Nothobranchius furzeri: one gene and its partners. The protein of the gene in region 2 interacts with the protein of the main gene of each other region in a pairwise test. Links are inferred from orthologs where the notes say so. Each region holds a gene or a part of one and is shown on either strand. Other genes may lie near its edges. The genes, in order: cullin-5, ccndbp1, ilf2 and pias2.

Region 1 (4,742 bases), on a different chromosome or scaffold from region 2:
AACATCGAAACACGGAAAAACAGCATTTCAATGAGCCCAAGCTGGACCATAAAACCTTTTAGGATGGTGACCCGATGCAGGTCAGAACCAAACAATCATAGCTACTGGATTAATTAGTCCTAAGTGAGAAGCTTCCAGGTAGCACTCACAATGCCGTTGGACATGAGGTGATGCCAGTGAAGCTTCCTGCCGCTGTGGTTTTTCTTGTAAAAATCTTCAACCTCAGGTATCAAATCCTCCAGCTCCGTGGGAAGAGAGACAAAGACCTTCTCACTGCTCCTGGACCACGCTCCAGCATTCAGGATCTTTATGTTGACGGAGTCCGCTGCAGAGCAACCAGAACCCGGGTCAGCATGGACACATCCCGCCTGTTCCAGAGCAGGACGTAGATGGACCCGACATTACCTGGTAGAGCCAGCTTGTTGTGTTTGTGCATCTCTTTAAAGGACTGGTTGAGGTCCTCCGACACCTTGATGTCTTGAAACATTCGGGCCAATTTGTTCACGTAGTCAGCCGGCATGCCTACTTCCTGTACGGAGACATTAAAACAATGTTTTCTGCAGAATTAAAGATCGGCTTCTAAGAAATGTTTCTACAGATCAAACAATCAGGATGATGACACGAGGACTATAGAGGAGGTGATATTTTAATGCACATCCCGGTTTGTTTATCAGAGTGAAATAAAAACACGACAGGCTTCCCACACATGCGTACCCTGAGCCACTCCACCATGTTCTCCTCGATCTCGCTGTCTGCTGAGATGTCCAGGATGAGGCGGCGGGTCAGGTGGGCTTTGTGGTATCGCATGAACACGTCTTTGTTCTGGACGTACTTCAGCACTAAAAGCTAGACAAAGTCAAACGGTTGATTAGATTGAGTCTGTGTGTCGCTCATTCGTTCATTTTCAACTTAAAACCAAAACTAAAATAAAGGAAAAAGGAAAAAAACGACAGTCTTTTTCTAAATCTGATCTTGTTGTCCACATTTTCTGTTTTAGTCTCGGATCAAAAACAGAAAATGGAAAAGTGCACCGAAGGACAGTTTCACATGGACCGGTACCAATATGGCTCAACTCAGACCTAGTCCACACGTAGCCGGGGTTTTTAAAAAACAAATATCCGCCCCTCCAAAAACTTGCATCCACACCACCTCGTTTAAAAACAAACTCTGTCCACACGTACCCGGATAAATACGTTGTTAAGGACATGCCAGACCTGTAGGGGGCAGTACTTCCCCCGTTCTTAACCTCGTCCTTCGTCTGTGGTCTTCCGCAAGGAGCAGTAATTCCGCTTTCAAAAACAAACAAGCAGAAAGCGCTTGGACAATTGATAAAGCGAGCGCAGCTCTGAGGGCATCCATGATGTCGGCTAGTGTAAACACAGGTCGCACACGTGATGTCAGCATTTTTTGTCGCGGAAAAAGACGTTGCGAACCTTAAAACTCCGGTTTTGTCCGTCCACACGCAGACACCCAAAACGGAGAAAACGCAGATCTTCACTTTGGCCGGAGTTTTTTAAAAGATCCGTTTTCTTGTGAAAAAACTCCGTTTTCGTGTGGACGACAGGCCAAAACGTAGGAAAATATCTACGTTTTGGCAGATCCCCGGCTACGTGTGGACAGGGCCTGATTTTCAGTATATGAAATTTCAATTTTAGGAGGAAAAATGAAAAGAAAAAGAAATGTTTGGATTTTGATGACAGACTAATATGATTATACACGCTTTTATGGACTGATTTAATGAAAGAGTAAGTGCTGAAAGCAGACGTTGTTTTGTTGTCTAAAACCGAAAACCAGACGACCTATTAAAACACTTTTGTTCTGATCTCATCACCAAAGTTATTTTTGTCTCAACATCTGGAAACGAACACTGAGCCGTCTACTTATGTTCACAGAAGTGATGAGGCTCTTGTTAAAGGCCAAGTTCACTGAGAAACATCTTTTTAATTTGTTATTTTTTAAATACGATCGGTCACTCTGGGTTTAACATGCAGGCTGAATGTGAAAATAGTCTTCTACCCTATTTTCTGCATGAGCTTCTGATAGAAAACAGATCCTGAAATGCGTGGGTTATAAAAGTCAGCGACATTAGCGTGTTATAATGTCAAATTGGCATTCATGGACCCACCCATCTTGACAGATGGGAAAGGCTCTTGTTGGTTCAGCGTCCAGGAAACCGTAGAGAACGTCTCAGCTAGAAGATGCTAACCGTTAGCATTAGCAACTCCACCACACAGCAGAGCTCCTTCAGGTTTGTGTTATTTGTGGAGATAATACATCAACGTTGCAGAGAAAACTGAGTCCGTAGCAAAGTCACATTGCTGTTATCCAATCAGAGGAGAGGTGTCCAAATACCAGGAAATACGACTCCAAATCCCACCGTCACCTGCTCTGCTCCCCTCCCCCTTTTTGCTAACGTCTACTTCCTGAGGCAGGAGCGCCAGAGCTTTATTCCAACAGAGATGGGCTCACAAGGCATTAGCTCATACTAGAGACCACCGCAGATGTGTTGAAAAAACAAGTGAACTTGGTCTTTAAAGAAATGTTCTTGGCTTGTTAAAATAATCAGGTGAGAAATAGAAATATGACTTTTTTTGTTTTCACCCACAAAGTGAACAATAAAGTAACAACGCTCATCTTTCATTTTTTCACCAACATATTTTCACTTATAATTAGAGACGTGGCGCAGTCGACCGGATCCGTGCGGACTGCTTGGTGCACGCTCTTGACGCAGGAGCACGCGGTCTGACGGGCATAACTGTATCAACACAACACCTGAGCTCGTAAAGATGACCCGTTAAATAAGAACATCAAGCCTGTTCTTCAATTTCATATTTTTGAACCAAGACAAAATTTCAAAATATGGGAAAGCAGATTCATTTTTCAACTTTAAATGCTATCAATTTACTTACTTCTAATTAGGGATGTAAGAAAATATCGATATGGCAATATAGCGTGATATTTTTTCTAGCAATATTATATCGATATTCAAAAGCCGTGTATCGGAAATATCGATATGTCAATATATCGTGATTTTTTTCTAGCAATATTATATCGATATTCAAAAGCCGTGTATCGGAAATATCGATATGACAATATATCGTCATATTTTTTCCTGCAATTATTACATCGATATTCAAAAGCCGTGTATCTAATTCTTGAAAGAATTTACATGCAAACTTTTGTGTATTTTCTTTTCGTTTTGTGCAATTCAATCGCCACCCGCTAGTTGGCAGCAGTGTGCAACGGGTTTTGTTTCCACCACTGAAATGTAAATCCCTCCATCATGGTTCAGATACCTCATGTTAAACATGTTACGTATCAGTTTGGACTGTTTATTGAACATTCTTACAATAAATTCAGTAAAAAAAATTGCTTGTAACGTCTGAATGAATGTATCGCAATATATCGTGATATATCGTATCGTCTCCCCTGTATCGTGATATGTATCGTATCGCCAGAATTTCAAAAATACACATCCCTGCTTCTAATGCCGTCCTAATATTTATTTTTCCGCACAAAAACATGCTGCATCTCTGGTAAACCGGTGAGTTAATAAGCGACAAGGCAGCAAATATTTAATGGGTAACTTTGAAATTCCTTCAGAGACGCCTAAAGACATTTTGATCAATTTGACTTCTCGTTAGAAAATGATAAATATCCAAGAATATTTGCTAGAAGATTGTAGTTCTTGGTACTGCAGCTCACACTTATTAATTTTAGCTAAACTGTATTTTTATTCAAGCTGCAAAAGAAACAGCAGCGCAGAAGTCTGGAGACACGAATGTTCCTCTTTTTCACAACTAACCAGACCCTGAAAACATAAAAAACAAATAGTTTTCAGGACACTGCAGGAGCCCCGGGGATGGGAACGATTAGTGCCCAAAACATGCAAACAGGTCCTAAAACGTACCACTTCCTTGAGCTTAGCTTCAATCTCCTCAGAGGTGAGCTTCTTACTCAGCGGAGTCTTCCTCAGAAGCATGTCGCAGTAGTTGGCCAGCAGCTCTGGACACTTCGACTCCGGCTGAGTTTTCATTCCTACCCTGTAAAAAAAACCAAAGTGTGCAAACATGAACACGCAGACGTCGATCATTTACGACTAAAACTACATCTAAAGGTGATTTCTTACGCTTTCTGCTTCATCGGAAGCTCTAGTTTAAATATTGTGGCATCGTTCACGACAGCTTTATACGCCTGTGAAAAGAATCAGCGTCGGTCAGCAAGTTTTACACGGTGAGGAGATGAAAATGACTAAATCTAACTGACTTTGTCTCTAGCTGTCAGGAAGCGAGGGTCGTCCTGAAAGGCCTCTTTGACCAGTCGACTGAAGCGGTTAAACAAGGTCAGCAGCTGCTCCACGTATTTCTCTGAATCCTGCAACAGAGACCAGATAAATAATCCTTCTGACCAGTCCGGCGAACAAAGACAGCGGGAACAGCTTAAACGTGAGTGAGATTCTCACCGAGGTGATGGTCTCCGCTGAAGCCACCATGTCAGCCAGGCCGGCGCTCATTATGTGATCCTCCAGATCCTTCAGCATGGGCTCGATGCCACTGGGAACTTTGTCCATCAGGGAGAACATCAGGTGCAGCTCTGTGATGAGTGGACAGAAGGATGAATGATATCAACATGACTGGATTATCCGTTTACACCTGGAGCTTGAGTGGCTCTGTGGTCGATAGAAGATGTTATAGTCTACGGTTTAGTTAACCGGTCGCTCCGTGTTTCAGACGCGTCGCCAA
Region 2 (4,742 bases):
GCGTGTGTGTGTGTGTGTGTGTTTACCTGCTCAATCTCCTCTGTGGCATCTTTCACAACTCCGATCTGAGCGGACAGAACCACCAGCAGAGCTGCTTTATTATCTGTAAATTAACATTTTGTCTCAGTAAAACAGGATGGAACTGAAGATTATGTTGCTAGAAAACGTTTGCTTGGTTCAGTCGTGCAGTTACAGGGGTGAAAGATAAACTAGAAGGAATTTAATTAAATATGGCCGTGTCATAAAATATTCTGGATATTACAATTTTATTATATTACAGTTTGTGGAGCTGGTTACTATGAAAAGTTAGTTTTAAAACCAAACAAAAACTGACCTAAAGAAGTCACCACTGATCCGAACAATGGAGCTTATTTAAATAAAAAGCAGTTTGGCCTTTGTGTTATGAACACTGATCATATTAAAGCAGAAAAATGACTTTTTTCTAGTAGAATTCTCTTAAATGTGTGATTAAAATGAAGGAGACCAGAATTTGATTCAAACAAGAAAAGCTTACTGTCTGCTGCCAGAAACAAATAAATAAAACAGTGTTGAGCAGGGACAGCCTTTTACTGCCCCTGTGAAATCAGCTCACCTCGTGGTAACTGGGCAAACAGGTCACAGGCAGTCCAAACTCCTCCTGTTGATGTGAGCTGTTCCTGGGTCAGACTGGATGACAGCAGAGGAGGAGGAAGAGGCATGAAACAAACCGGTGAAATGCACAAAGATGGAGATTAAGACTATAGAAGGAAAAAACTATTTTTGTTTTGTTGAAAGTTAAATTAGTTCGTTCTTATTACCTGAGAGCTTCCAACAACTTCTTTGTTTGCATCTGTTTTTTAATCTTGAGGAGTCTGAATAGAACTTTTTCAACTAGACCGCCCAGTGCCAGATTATTTTTGTTTGATTCAATTCAAATCAATTCAGTGTATTTGTGTAGTGCCAAGAGTCGTCTCGTTGTCTAGTGAAGGCACTTCACTAAGTAAACATTCCAATTGAACCTACTTATCAGTTCAGTTCATTATTGGCCTTGCCTGCCAGACTGTCTACACAGAGAACTGGTCTGGTTACTCACAGCAGAGAGGCCCATGAGGGACAAGACAAGCCAGCTAAAGAATAACCAATCAGAAAAGGGGAGGAAATGCCAAAATTTAATGTGCAACGCTGTTGTTTTTTAGCTGTAGTAAAAAAATGGTGTCTGGCGATGACGCAAACATCTTTCTTTAGAAGAAAGGCTTTTAACACGTCTACTTGTTGCGGTTTTAAAAACGTGTTCAAGTCATTTAGAACTGAGGAAAGAGCCGCAGCGAACTCTGCTTCAGACGGCGTCTTCGTTGTTTATAAGAAACTCAGCATGGTGGTGTGTGACACACGCTGTTCAGCGCTTATTGGCTCAGTTAGAATTCTCAGGGGATGATTTGAATAGGAGAGTTCCCAGCCCCATGCTTCCAGCCCAAGCCCCCACAATGCGGGTGAAAAATTGAAGCAACTCCGGAAATGAAATAAATTGCAGTTCCACCCTCATCCACTGGGGGCTGGTGTCAGAAGCGAGCAAATCCTCATTGACTCCCATGTTAAAAATACCAATTTCACAGCAGAAATAAGTGTACTAAAAGCCTAAAATTCTGTATAATTAATGAGCATCAGACTCAGGTGACCGCAGAGCTAGCTCCGGGGAAAGGCCTCAGTCTGAGCCTCGGTCTGGCCTGGATTAGTTGTAGCGTTTGTGCATTCTTTTTGGATATTATTTGTGCAATTGTTGGACAAAATGACTTGCTGTGGCATTAATTGCACTAATAGAGCATCCAAGGAGTTACCACTTCATTTTTTTCGGTAAGTAAAATTATATTTATGTATTTTAGGTCACTGCTGAGCTGAGCTTAGATTTTAACATGTACTGATTAACCATGAAATTTAAATGTAATAGGGTAAAACCCAGTGCATTTAACATAATGCTGCACTTTAGAAAATGGGTTGAAATATAACATGTTGGTGGAGCTGGGTTCCGACTATCAGCTTGTGGAGCTCTTGGGAGACCTCTGTTTTCCACCCAGTTCTTCCCTCCCCGCAGCTCGGCGCATCTCTGTCTGATCGCGGCTTCTGTCTGCTGCGCGGGCTGCTGGCTTGTGGAGCTCTGGGATGGAAACCTTTCCACCCGGTTCTCCCCAGCGGCAGCTCTGCGCATCGCAGATCGCAGCGGCGCTTGTCTGCTGTGCGGCTGCCGGCTTGTGGAGCTCTCGGAGACCTCTGTGTTCCACCCGGTTTTACCCAGCGGTTAGCCCGGCGTATCTCTGACTCAGAAGCTCTGGTGTTGTGCACAGTTAACTCCGGTTGTAGCTAGGTTGCTACCTCCGTTAGCTTAGCTCCCACCTCCGCGTTAGCTGTAGGTTAGCTTGTAGCTAGTTCGACCGGGTGTCGTCAGTTGATCCCAGCCTTACAGCCACACCCTCAGCTCCACCTCTCTTCCCTTTTGTGGAATTGTCTGGGCTTGACAGAACCTGTGACACGGTCAAAATGGCGGTGGTGACCACCTCCCATTTATCTTCAAAAATGTGTTATTGGAGCCTATGGAAACCCAATGTCCAATATTTATATGTCGATGCATTGAACTTGATTAAAAATGACTTCTTTCTAAACTTGTGAACAGCTGGATGACATCCTGGACCTGTGGCTTCAGCTTCAATCTCATCCAGGAGATTTTCACAACATCGTCTTCTAGACGTGTTCGACTGTCAAAGGACTCAACATTTACTGTGAGCTCGTAAAACATGTTTCACACCCTGATGCAAGGTACACACACACACACACACACACACACACACACACACACACACACACAAACACAAGCCACACTTCACCACTTCCCACAAACACACATGAAAATTCACGTGTTTCCCCTGTAAAAATCACTCCCCAATTTACTATCATCTTGTGGTTCACCAAGTTTCCACCTTTTATACAGATCAGTTATTTCCTATCACTGCCATAACGCTTTGGGTTAACAATTGTCTTAATTCCATGCATGAAACGATAAGCTGTGTTTGGTACTTTTTGTCATGTCTCAACTGCTGTTTGTAATAAATTCACAAAACTTAAATCATGCCTGATCATTGTCTAGCGATCTCGAGAATAGTCGACGCATTCTGACAAGAATTCAGCTTTCAGATTAATTTTTGATGTTAACTTTGAGGCCGATTACATTGAGAAGATATAGATATTAAATCCAATGGTACAGTTTCACAAAACTGGTGGTGCCCCGATTAATTAATATAAGATTATAAACAACTAAACAAGCTAAATCTACACCACATTTGAAATATAGATATAAATCTATTTTTATCACTACACTGAGAATGAATAATGTTTAGTTCTGATGAGTCTGTTGTCCTTTTAGTTTGGTTTTGTATCGTTTTTATTTTGCTTGATCTTCTTAGCCTTTTGTGGGATTAAGGCGAAAGGATTTAAATATTTGTTATAGCCATTTATTTCTGCATTTTGGTCTCTAACATTTTTTTCTACACTCTGTGGTAGATATTTCAATTCTTAAGCCCTCCACAGTGAAATCAATAAATGGTTTTAACCGAGTTCTGTAGCGTTTACCTGTGTAGCGGTAAGCTGAGTATGACCTCCAGCAGTTGTGTAACTCCCTCCAGAACCCCAACAGTGGCTTCTCTGACCTGTCGACGTAGAGTCACACCTGAGACACCGGGAGACACACAACCCAAACAACACATCAAACTTCATTTAGACAGCAGACAAACATTTAGGTCAGTTTTAAATGAATTCATCTCAACCAGCAGGCAAGCTCTTATGTGTTTTTGTGCAAGAAAAGCAGAGCAGATGGTTATCCACATATAGAAAAGGGTAACTATTGCTTAGGCTACTTAGACATGTTTATGAAAATTGATTTTCTAATTTGAAAACAAAGCCATAGTCAACTATTAAAACCCAGAAATGATCATGTAGTTAATGAGTGTTACCATAGCTCTTGGGCAGCCAGTAATACACGGTGGACAGAGTCAGGAGGCTCTTCAGGATAGACTCTGATAACTTCTCAGCATCCTGCAGTACAACAAAGTTTACATGACAGCCTGAATCATGAAGGACTGAGAAACGATAGGAAGATAAACATATACGACTGAAAAGTTTGAAAGAACATCTAGCTCAGGTTTTAAACATTTTAATAAACAGATTGTGAATAGGAAATCGCTGAGTGGCACATGTCAGCATAAATGTGCAGTTTCCGGGTCTGCAGCCTTGTACCATTGAGGAATTCTTATGGGTGGAGACAGGACTTCATCAAATCCAAATGCCCTTTTACTGGGTTGAAGGGATGGCTTAAAAAATAAAATTCTATTTCAGAAATGATGACAACTTAATCGTGCCAATGGTAACATTTTATCATATACTGTGCCGACAGTTGTTCTGGAAGGTGTAAAATAACATGATACAGTCCCTTTACGTTTTGTGTGAATAATAACTTATAACAACAAACAAACTAACCTGTAAAGAGGGGAGCGGAGGTCTGGAGAAGGCTAGGCTGAGTTTAGTGGCTTCCTGGGACACTGCCTTTACTGCTTGGTCTGATTACAAACAACAGTTAGATAGATTAAATTTTTGATTATATAGTATAGATGACAGTGTCCTAATGTCAGAAATAATAGTAAGTCAGATAGAGCTGATGAGCAAAAGAGACTTGCCTTAATAGGTAACGTTCACATTATGTACTCAACAGTGCAAGATCG
Region 3 (5,539 bases), on a different chromosome or scaffold from region 2:
GTGAAAGGTCATATCCGTGACGCACACTAATGAAGACTAGCTCACGTCGACTGAGAGGCGTTCTCTTCAAACCAGCGGGCATGGCGGATGGCGGCGAGGGCGCTCTGCAGAACCTTGATGTCCACTGGAGGAACAGAGAGTCAGTGTTCATGGATGCAGGTTTCATTAGAAACACTGACATCATCACGGTGCTGAAGACGCTGCCGTCTCATCCACCCAGGTTTCTGGTGCATGAGGCATTAGCTAATAGCTACGCTGCGTTTTAGCATCGGTTCTGGTCCACCACAGCTCGTTAACTCCTCTCACAGCCTAACGACGGTGACCTGAAATGACCTGTTTAAAACTTTACTAGTCACATCATTACAATAATATTGCTGCAGCCAAACAATCTGAGAAATATGGCCAACAACGATTCTGTCATCCCACACACACACGGTCCAGAGGCTACCCAAACACCGTCTTACACACTCACACCACTTGTACAGATTAGAGATCAAAGGTTCAGTGGAAAGAACCGTTTAAAACGGAGAAGTCCTTAAAAAACGAGTGTCTGTGTGTGTGCATGTGTGTGTGTGTGTGTATGCATGTGTGGGTGTGTGTGTGTGTATCATACGGTGCAGCTCTGGATCCAGCTTGCGTAGGTTGGGCGGGACAGTGGTGATGAGGATCTTAACGGTTGCATCAGCTGAGCTGATCTCAAAGCCCGTCTCATTGGTCAGCATGGAGAGAACTGAAAGCGCGGGTGCACACACACACACACACACACACACACACACACACACACACACACACACACACACACACACACACACACACACACACACCATTAGTGTTTATTACATCATTAACTCACTAAAGATGCTCACTCTGTTTCTTGAGGGCACTCTGACCAACTTCAGCCTTTAGGTAAGGTCCAGAGCTGCAGATACACCCCCCCACACACACACACAGACCCACCCCCGTACCTTCTGCGGGGTCCTGGGTGCGAAGAGTCTCCACCACCTTGTTCCCGAGCGCAGCCACTGCCTCCACTGTTAGATTAAACATGAAGAGCAGAGTCAGCTTTAGCTCCAGGTGTTTAACACTGGACTCAGTATTAATCACCACTCTACCGACGGTATTCGGGGTTTAAATGACACCAAGTTGCCTCATAAACACATTTAGGATTCAGACACTTCTGTTCTCGAGTTCCTGTACGGTCTGACGAGTTTCGTCATCACTGTTAAGCTTAAAGAGGCTAAAGCTAAACAGCTTAGCTGCTGGATAGCCGGTCCGGTCGGGCTGCATGATGGGACTAGCCATGTATTTACCAACACGAGTCCAGATGTGCTCAGTGGTTTCACCAGAACATCTGTTGAAGCTGTTCCAGCAGGATGAGGCCCTAGTGACGGACCCAGGGCTGGTCTGAATGAACAATGACTCACGTGTAGGGAGGATCTTGAGGATGACAACGAGGTCAGCGACGTTGTGTCCAGTTGTCATGGTTCCCTTCTTGTATGAACCCACCTGACGAACTTCTTCTATTTGCTGTGGACAGATAACGTAAGCATGCGGGATGGCTTTGATGCGTTCTAAAAGATAAAACCGCTCAGCTACATAAAGCTCAGCCTGTGGGAGGTCTAGGAAGGTCATGACGGAAGAGAAACATTTAATCCCAGATTAGGACGTGACAGCAAACACAGATCATTACAGCCTTACTGACACCAACTCATTTACACCAGTTTCAGTAAACATGGCAGCTCTACAGGTCAGATGTTCACCACTCACCACTTCAAAGCTACCAGGGGCAACAATCAGGTTGTCGATGACATTATTGATCTTTGTGACCAAAGACAAGATGGAAGACTAGAAGCAGAAGGAAATGAAGACGTCAGGTAAGTAACCTACAGCACGATGAGACCAGTGAGGTGTTGAACTGGAATACCTAGCTGACCTGTTCTGCAGGTGAGGGGCTCAGGTCCTGGTTCCTCTTCAGCAGACACTCGCTAAACGCCGTCTCATCAGGAGCAGGTTTCACTCTGGGGAAGGCCATCTCACACTGGGGAAGGACAACAGTCTGCTTCAGAACCACAAAATGGACCGGATTCTACCAGATGCTAGTTGTAGCCATGGTTACTGATTATTCCTGCATGCTGTTCTGTTGTCTGTCACATGCGTGAACTCACCACATAGAAGTCAAATGGGATGTGCGGGACAAAAGGACGGTACCTGAGCGGGACAGAGAGAAGAACGGAGAATCGGTGGACTGGCACAAATGTCCCTACTAGTCAGAACCAGAACGTCTGACCGGGACCTTATGAAAGCTGATGTTCAAACCCAAAAAGTAGATTTTAACAATGATTTGGAGGTTTCAGTTATAACCAAGGCAGCGGTTCTTTTTGCTTCAGCACAATAACCAACAATCCGTCTTAGCTTCATCACCAGGACCACGCACAACATGAGCTGATGATTCCAGACTTTACAGCAGCTTTTTAAGGATCCAGAAATCAATGGATTGTTTCATTTGGGAAAAAATGAAGTTTAAAGAGACAGAAACAGGACGCTGCTTTCAGACAGGATGGAAAGATCTAACTGCTCTGAAGAAGTCCTTCTGGAGATGTTCTGGGGAGAGTGCCGTCGTCCTGTGTAATCACAAGAGGCTTCTTTTTCCACTTCTGAAGATCTTTCTCACTTAGACTTTTCTACTCTGATGGCTTATGGGTCCGAGTTCCATCCAGAAGCAGGAATCGAACCAGCAAACTTAAGACTAACTGTCAGATACTTTCTACAACCAGATCAAGGACCTGACTGAAAGAACCAGTATGGAACAGGAACAGAGATCAGTAAGGTACTCACCCCTGGACCATGCCTCCCCGGGCTCCGAAGCGGAGTCCTCGGCCCCTGCCGCGGTCTCCTCTGTTCACAAACACAAAACCCAGATCAGTCCAGTGCGCTCGCTACTGCCAGACTAAAGGATAAATAAAAACGCTGATCTTAGCTAACACACGTGTGTTATAGTCCTAATTCGCTACCTCAGTGTTAACTTGCTGTCGATAAAACGTAAGAGTTATCAGTAACACTGTTATTGGAGGAATAAATAAGTAACACCACGTTCAGAACGAGACTTTAACAGAAAGCTATACCGAGCTAATGGCTAACAGCTAATGACACTGATTACAGGCTAGTTAGCGTAAAGCCAACACAACCAGGTCCGGTTAGTCAGCGTTACCTCATTGCGTACGACGTTTTGATGGTTTGATGAGAGAAAACAGGGAGAACGGTTTGATATGGTTTAATGAATGAGCGGAGGCTAACTGCGGAAGGGACTAGTGTGGCACAAAGAGACTTCTGTTTCCGGCGGAATTGTTTCTTTCTTTCTGTTTTACGTCACCAACGCCGTGGTACATTACCGCCCCCAACTGGAATGGAGTGTGGACCGCATAGATATCACATATTATAGCTAGATGCGCTGTTTTTTTTATTTATTGGTATATTTTTTTGCTGCTGCCATAGCGTAACTTTATTCATTCACGTCTTTCTGGTCAAGTCTCTTTTTTAACTTTATTTCAATCTTCGTTTTCACATACATTCAGTTTACAATGTAACCTACATTCAACGTACTGAAGAATATAACAAATACAAATGACCGCACTTGAGGAAAATAAAAATGACATTTAGAACTTGCAACATTTACCGCATGGCACTACCATAAAATAAATTATGATGCAAAATAATAATAATTAAAACAAAAAATAAAATAACATCAACAACAAACAAAAAACGTTCAGAGGTTGATATTTCAGCATTATAGTTCAAACATGTTTGATTCATTGGACTGTAATTTAAAGAACAAGAAACTCAGACATTGTTTCGCACAACTCAGTTATAGATTGGTTATTTTCTGAAAATACTCTTTGAGATGTTGTAAATTGTTTTATTTAATTTTTAAAATGATTAATGTTAGGCTTGCTGTTTTTCCATTTAGTCTTATGTATTTGGTAATGTTCACCATTTTGGATATCTTTTTTGGAAGAGCATCCATGTATATCAGTACTTTAGATTACATCATTTCTCTCAATATTTACCAATCGATAAACATCCTCCTCAAAACCAAGTGTTACTGAACACGAGAAGAAAAAGGTGCTCAATAGTTTCACATTCTGTCATACAAAAGATGCACTGATTCTCACCTGCGCTGTTCGTCAATGGACCCTGACGTCCGTACGCGGCAGCCATCTTACTTCGGACAGCTGCTCTCCTCTAGCACTGTTGTTTAGTGGTGCATGAGGGGGAATTCAAGATGGCAGAGTGAGCAGGTGCTGGAAACTTGGCAGGTCTGATAAAACGGTGGGTTTTAAATGTTCTGAGAAGTAATTCTCTGATAAACAGTTATTCAGAACGAAATTGAAAGGAAATCGGTACCTGTGGAACATGTTTTTGAAGAGTTATTGGACAGATAAAGTAGCAAACACAAAAAATCAAATGACTAACATGGCGGCGCTAATAGGTAGTCTTTCCGACCATGACTACAACCTTGCGGCAATGAAGGAAGCATGTGCGGACGAAGACATTGAGGAGATGGAGCATCAACAGATAGCAGCAAGACCCACTGGTGATCACACTCCAATAAAAAGCCCCAATCAAAAAAAAAAACCTGAAAAATAAAGCTACTGGCAAACAGATATGCAATGAAAACATCTATGAAGCCCTGCTGGCCTTTCCAGAAAGATTTGATCTGCTAGACAAAAATCTGAAAGCTTTTGACCTTAGGATAGAGGCAAATGGCAACTGAAGAAAACAAAAAGGAAACAGACAAGCTCAAAACAAGGATGGAGGCTTTAACGAAGGAAAACAAAGAACTGAAGGAAAGATGTCTGGAAAACTCAAGATACCGAAGAAGATGGGACCTCAGACTACTTGGCCTGGCAGAAAAAGAGGGTGAAAATACACGGGATAGAGTGATTGGCATCCTGACGAGAGTGATTCCTGTGTCAGTGGAAAAGCTGCAGCTCATGGTGGATACAGTACATCGAATCGGGAAGAAGGGCGACGCTGCAAACAACAAGCTGCCAAGACCGATCATCGTTCAGTTTAGCATGAGGGCAGCAAGGGATGAAGTGTGGAGGAAATCCAGGGAGGCCAGGGTTTGCAAAGAACTGCACATAAACGTTAAAGAGGACTTCTCCAAAGAGGATAAGGAAGCTCGGATCAAGCTGTGGCCCAAGGAGCTGGAGGCTCAAAACAACGGCAGAAGAGCATTCCTGAAAGACGGGTTTGCTATAACAGATGGCAAAAGAATTGACCCATAATATGCATGCAGAAATAATAAAAGTGGAATGGCATAGGTAAATCTGGAGGTAGATAAAAAGTTCTGGTTCCTAATAAAAAAAAAGGGGGGGGGGTCACAATGACAATCTGAATACTGTATTTACAAGATAAGTAGGACTTCATGCTTACTCCTGCTAGAAACAGTTCATTTTTCTAGAGAATAAGAGTAGAAGGGAAAAGTTTAATTTGTTCTTGCGTTGTGTCTTCTTGATCTTTTTTTTTTACCTTTAAT
Region 4 (5,416 bases), on a different chromosome or scaffold from region 2:
AAAAGAGAATTAAAATAATAAACACTCAAAAGTATCGAAAATTGGTACCGTTAAGTACCGGTATCGACTCGTAGGTACCGGGAATTAGTACCGGATCGATTCAAATGTCAAAGGTACCCATCCCTACTGTGAACTAAATTTACTGTGTATCTTCATTCCTTTTGCCGTCCTTTTTCATTTGATTTTTCCTACTGGGAAGTTAGAATTTCCGAGGAGAAAGTGAACGCACCATTAGCTGATAACAACGGTGGCAATGGAAGCTAACATATTAAGCTAACGTTATCTTTAACAGTTTATTTAACTGCTGGAGCAGATTAAAACGATGATGCCTCACACTTAGATCGTTGTCGCTGGTTTCATCTTCACCCAATCACCGGTCACGTTTAGTAAAGTGAAGCCAAACTTTAGAGCGCGTTCATGTTCATCTAGTCGGAAATTCGGAGTTCCGAGGAGAAAGCGAACGCACCATTAGCAAAACGGAAGCTAACATATCAAGGTAACGTTATCTTAAACATTTTATTTACCTACCAGAGCAGATTAAGATGATGACTCACTTAGATCGTTGTCTGTCGCTGGTTTCATCACCCAGTTACCCGTCACATTTAGTGAAGTGGACCCAAGCGTTAGCGTGCGTTCTTCTTTCTACCATGCTGCTCTGATTACAACTCGCTCGCAGGGACCGACGACATAACGCTCTTGCGTATGCGCAGCTTTCTTGGCAAGTTCTCGTTATGAAGGACGGGTACCGAAACGAGGCACCGTTTGAAATGACGTTAATCGGTGCTCGGTCGGTACTATAGAAAAGGTGTTCCTCTTCGGAACGAAAACCTCGTTGTCGCTCTCAGCCGCAGCCGAAGCCATGTTTGCTCACACACAGGTGAAAACAAGCGGGGCACTAATATATTACTATGACTCATTCTGATTGGTTAAGGGTCAAACAAAGGCGTGTCATTCGCCTGGGGTAAGTTCCCTTTTCATTCAGAGGCAGAAATTCAACAGCAGAATCGTGATAAAATGGTCTCTCAAAAATGACAGACCGTCAGATGTATAGATCGTAAAACAGTCTAAAATCGTCATATCGCCCAGCCCTACGCTGATGGTGGCGTCACTTCCTACTCCGTTTATCCTCGGGCAGCAGAGGACGTTGTCGCCCTCTGCTGCCCGATCTCCCCTCTCCGACGATGCAGTCCCATGCGCGATCCAACGAGTAAACACCATCGTCTCTGTTCATGGTCCCACATCCACGTCTCCTTATCTCGATAGCTTCTTTTATGATCCTTGTGTTGTCCCAGTCCATTATATGCTCTTCTCTTGTGCAGTGATCTGTTACGGCTGACTTCTTTATTGTGCTTTCTGCTTCTTCTTTTGCTGCTCTTGTGTGTTTTCGATTTGCCTCTTTCTCGCACTCCTTTATATGTTCTATTGTTCGTGTGTTGAGTTGGTGTCCGGTTTCTCCTACGTATGTTTTATTGCAGAGTTTGCATGGGATTTCGTAAACGACTCCACATTTAAGTCCAGCTAGTATCTTGTCTTTTGGGTGTACTAGTCTGTTTTTAACTGTTGTGTATGGTTTTGTTGGTGTGTTTATGTTGTGTTTTTTCATTGTTGCTCTTATTTTTTCTGTTATGCCTTTGATGCATGGTAAGGTTATCACTGGTTTTGGTTCTTGTCTTTCTGGGTTTCTGGTTCTTTGCTTTGGTTGTTCTTTTCTTTCTGTTGTTGTTTTCCTTTGTTTGTTGCCCATGTCGGGTAACATGCGCCGGCTACCTCGCTTTCCCGTCTTCTACGATGCTTTCTTCTCGAGCTGGGGCGGACAGAGGGCCGACACATCTCGGCTTGGGGGGGGAGAGCACACGGGCAGTCCAAACAACAACACCATCCGTGAGGTTCCCAGCGTGCAGCGCCCGCTACATCAACAGGACGAAGCCTCAGCAGCGCAGTTCGATCATAAGTCACCAGAGAAGCCACACCATTCAAAAAAGCATTAGACACAACAAAAATACATAAAAAGCCAATAAAATCCAAGGTTCCACTGCGTAAAGAGGACGAGCAGCTCGCTGCATGCACCTGTGCAAGCACCATCTGAACTCAACCCCCCCCTCCTTTTGTCACATCGCAATTTAATTGCACATGCAGTTAATCGTTCAGCCCTAATATGCATGCAGCTCTATGCTAAAAGTGTATTTTCAAAGAGGTAATGATGGATTTCTTTGTAAAAGTTGTCCATCTTTCCAATAGAAAGATTTGCCTGGACCAACGTAACGTGATAACAACGTAACGTGATTACGTAATTCCGTGAGGTTCATGTTCAGCCAATCAACTACTTTGACGTCATCGGCAGTCGACGGACCCCGAGCCGATCTTGCACCCGAGCAGATCCTGTACCGACACCGTCTTCTGTACAGTGAGCTTAAATAAAATGCCTTATTATTTTTGTTATTCTACTTCATGACTGTAAGCTGTCATAAATAGCTTCTATAACCCAACCCAGCATCTTCTCGCTATTTCTCTGTGGTGGAATCACCTGTTCAGCAGTTCATCACGCGCTGCACAAGCCCATAGACTACAACCTAACGTGTTGGAGAAGAGACACAAAACATGCAGGATAGTGGCCCTGGAAAGCAGGGTTAGTGTTCTCCTGGACTGGTTACACTGACTCGAAAGGTCACGGTTATGTGTAATCATAATCTAACTAGCAGAACAAGTACTCCGTCCAAACACCGCATAACCAGCTGTTCCTAACCCTGGTTGTATTCAACAACGTGTATGTAATACGGTAGCTACAAGTACACTCTAGCGGGAGGTTTTCAGCGGCTCACAAACACATACAACACATCTGTTAGCATAAGAGCTAACCAAAAAGCACCAAATATCCGAGTCGAAACTAAACCCGTGTTTAGTTTTGAGTGTCTCAACCAGAGATAAGGGGCTTCACACAGGAGACGCTCCGTTTAAAGGGAAACAGCAAGCGCTTCGTTGACTGAAATTTGTCAGAATTAATGTGAATGTTTTCACTTACCTGTAACTCTCGGTAGTCCGCCATCTTGATATGCCTCATTTCTTCTTCGTGACTCTCGGAGGTTGTCTTTGACCCGCCCTAACAGAACGTTATCGCCGCCAAGTGCATTGAAAGACCGGAACCAGAAACAGGAAGTGGAAACTTGTTTTTAATTGAACATCAATCACATTACACTTTAATAACAAACAATAAAACTCAGTAGGCAACGAACAGCTTTTATCAAATACAATTGGAAAAATGTCTAAGCTGCAGAAATAACAAGATTTATAAATGATAAAGTATAAGGTAAAGTAACAGACAGAGGACTTTAGTTCAAAAGATCTTCAACAACACTGACAAGTTCAACAGCCTGTATATTATTTACCTTTTTAAGGGATTTGCAAAAAGTAATAAAATCATTTTTGGAAAAATGACAGGCTTGGCTTCACTTTCATAAAACTGCATTTGTGAATAAAGAATTTCCCAAAAATTATCAAACTGTTAACAATGAATTGAATGTGTTTGTTTTTTCTATAGAGCTCCGGGAGTTGACGTCACTTCTCCCAGCATGCAACAGTTCAAATCGAAACGGCACCATTTTGGCAGGCAGAAGCCGGCAGCTAGACTATGTTATAAATCTCACACGGGAAATATGGTCGATTCCTGTTGTGCCCCAGGATGCCAGAACAGACGGGGACAAGTCAAGGGAAGATCCTTCTACAGGATTCCCCAAGATCCGGAACGCCGCAAACGTTGGATCATTGTAATAAAATGCACTGGTGACCGGGCTAAAATGGAGCTGTGGGACCCCGAGAGTAAAGGATTTCACTTATGCAGCGACCGCTTCATATCAGGTACTTAAACTAACGTTTCCTCAACTGTGTGTGGTATTTATTTTTAAATGCTTTTATTACGATTCTTAGCGGGCTTCCTAAACTTATTTTGGCGTGGCTTTTTCTGTCTTATTACTCATAGCAACAAGTAAACATCACGTAAAACGTTGCCTCGTGATTTCTGCGTGCTGCCGTTTCCGTGTTTTATGATCACAGCAATTAACCGGCTAAGCTGTATTTAATTTTTAAGCAATGGTTGATCAAGTGTCAGATCACACATCAAAAACACTTTGGATTGCAATTATCTGTGTCACCGAGACAGCTCTCAGACAGATCCTGAGACGTTCCTGCCTGACATATTTATTTTATTCACGGAAAAAAAAATCAAACTAGTGATTTCTCTTGGCGTTCAGTTTATACATTCAAACAGCACAGCACTCTATTTAAACTACTTACGTGTAAATCTGTTATTTGTCCATCCATCCATCCATTTTCATCCGCTTATCCAGAGTCGGGTTGCGGGGACAGTAGCGTCGAGAGGCCCTGACTTCCCTCTCCCCCAGCCGCCAAAGCCAGCTCCTCCGGGGGAATCCCAAGGGGTTCCCCGGCCAGGTCCAGTAAGAAGTCCGCTCCGACAGCTTCTGGCGTTTTTAAAAAGTATCCCAGGGACACGGTAAGGGTCAGAGATGTTTAGTCTATTTAATTTCTGACTGTGTAAAACGATTTCTTCGGTTTTAAAGTGTGAAGTAAACTCCAACGAAGTAAAATCCAAGCCGATCCTGTTCATGTTCATGTGTTTGTTTACCTTTTTTTACCTGCCAAAATGGCGTCTACTCACTGAGAGTCACGTGGGGTCCGGAGCTCTATACAACCAAACTTGTGAGAACCATTTTAACTGAAGGTGTAGTTATTGGGTTTGACACTAGATGGAGGCAAACCCACTGATCTTTTGAACAAGTCACTGGCTGTGTCCGAATCCAGAGGAAGGATGCTTGTGAGTACGGGTCCTCGCCAGTCTAGCAAGGCCGGGTCCTTGCAAGACCGCTAAAACCGGAAGTCAGCGGCTCTGAATTTGGACAGTACTAGCCTCGTTTTTATTCCCGCCCCCAGGTCAAGTTGCCTAGCTACCGTGATGGCGGCAAACAGGCTAACAAGCTAGTAGCAACGTTGAAAATGGATCCACAGCAATATTTCATTTTATTTGTGGTTTTTGAGGAGCTGCGACGGCTCAATAAACGTCACCGCCCTTTGTATTTAAAGTTTAAAAATCATTTAGTCCTGTTATCTGCTAGAGTTACAAGTTTTATACTCATGATCTCCTTTTTTGCATATATCTGAATGTTAGTGATGTGACAGCCGTCGATTGAGCCAGCCCAGCAAACCCTTTTGATGGACGATGCAGTGGACAGTGAGATGACACATCCAGAAGCACCCTCTGCAGACCACCCTGTCTGATGTTCCACTTGCCAACCAGAAACGTTCTGCCACGGATCTCGGTTCCTGCACTCCATCCACCATGTTCAGTAGATTTAGCAACACCACCAAAGACTCCCTGCTTTCCAAGTTTACTGTATATAGTTTACTT

Evidence for each region.
Region 1: the proteins of ccndbp1 (region 2) and cullin-5 interact in binary tests that used the Homo sapiens proteins (3 or more experiments, as listed by UniProt). The two-hybrid records come from large-scale screens. The link is inferred for Nothobranchius furzeri from reciprocal best matches to the Homo sapiens genes CCNDBP1 and CUL5.
Region 3: the proteins of ccndbp1 (region 2) and ilf2 interact in a two-hybrid assay, tested with the Homo sapiens proteins (2 studies listed by BioGRID and IntAct). The two-hybrid records come from large-scale screens. The link is inferred for Nothobranchius furzeri from reciprocal best matches to the Homo sapiens genes CCNDBP1 and ILF2.
Region 4: the proteins of ccndbp1 (region 2) and pias2 interact in binary tests that used the Homo sapiens proteins (3 or more experiments, as listed by UniProt). The two-hybrid records come from large-scale screens. The link is inferred for Nothobranchius furzeri from reciprocal best matches to the Homo sapiens genes CCNDBP1 and PIAS2.

Annotation. Positions count from the first base shown.
Region 1 is NC_091750.1:27,990,481-27,995,222, forward strand, and holds part of cullin-5, read right to left. Parts: intron 4,594-4,742; coding exon 4,463-4,593; intron 4,375-4,462; coding exon 4,267-4,374; intron 4,195-4,266; coding exon 4,130-4,194; intron 4,044-4,129; coding exon 3,911-4,043; intron 847-3,910; coding exon 715-846; intron 530-714; coding exon 406-529; intron 326-405; coding exon 150-325; intron 1-149. UniProt on the Homo sapiens protein: Core component of multiple cullin-5-RING E3 ubiquitin-protein ligase complexes (ECS complexes, also named CRL5 complexes), which mediate the ubiquitination and subsequent proteasomal degradation of target proteins.
Region 2 is NC_091743.1:73,300,123-73,304,864, forward strand, and holds part of ccndbp1 (cyclin-D1-binding protein 1 homolog), read right to left. Parts: intron 4,581-4,742; coding exon 4,501-4,580; intron 4,060-4,500; coding exon 3,978-4,059; intron 3,695-3,977; coding exon 3,598-3,694; intron 667-3,597; coding exon 593-666; intron 104-592; coding exon 27-103; intron 1-26. UniProt on the Homo sapiens protein: May negatively regulate cell cycle progression. May act at least in part via inhibition of the cyclin-D1/CDK4 complex, thereby preventing phosphorylation of RB1 and blocking E2F-dependent transcription.
Region 3 is NC_091751.1:23,257,734-23,263,272, forward strand, and holds the start of ilf2 (interleukin enhancer-binding factor 2 homolog), read right to left. Parts: upstream 3,367-5,539; 5' UTR 3,214-3,366; coding exon 3,209-3,213; intron 2,896-3,208; coding exon 2,836-2,895; intron 2,209-2,835; coding exon 2,166-2,208; intron 2,039-2,165; coding exon 1,934-2,038; intron 1,846-1,933; coding exon 1,768-1,845; intron 1,528-1,767; coding exon 1,425-1,527; intron 1,032-1,424; coding exon 966-1,031; intron 731-965; coding exon 614-730; intron 125-613; coding exon 46-124; intron 1-45. UniProt on the Homo sapiens protein: Chromatin-interacting protein that forms a stable heterodimer with interleukin enhancer-binding factor 3/ILF3 and plays a role in several biological processes including transcription, innate immunity or cell growth.
Region 4 is NC_091757.1:20,891,847-20,897,262, reverse strand, and holds the start of pias2 (E3 SUMO-protein ligase PIAS2), read right to left. Parts: upstream 3,113-5,416; 5' UTR 3,020-3,112; intron 1-3,019. UniProt on the Homo sapiens protein: Functions as an E3-type small ubiquitin-like modifier (SUMO) ligase, stabilizing the interaction between UBE2I and the substrate, and as a SUMO-tethering factor.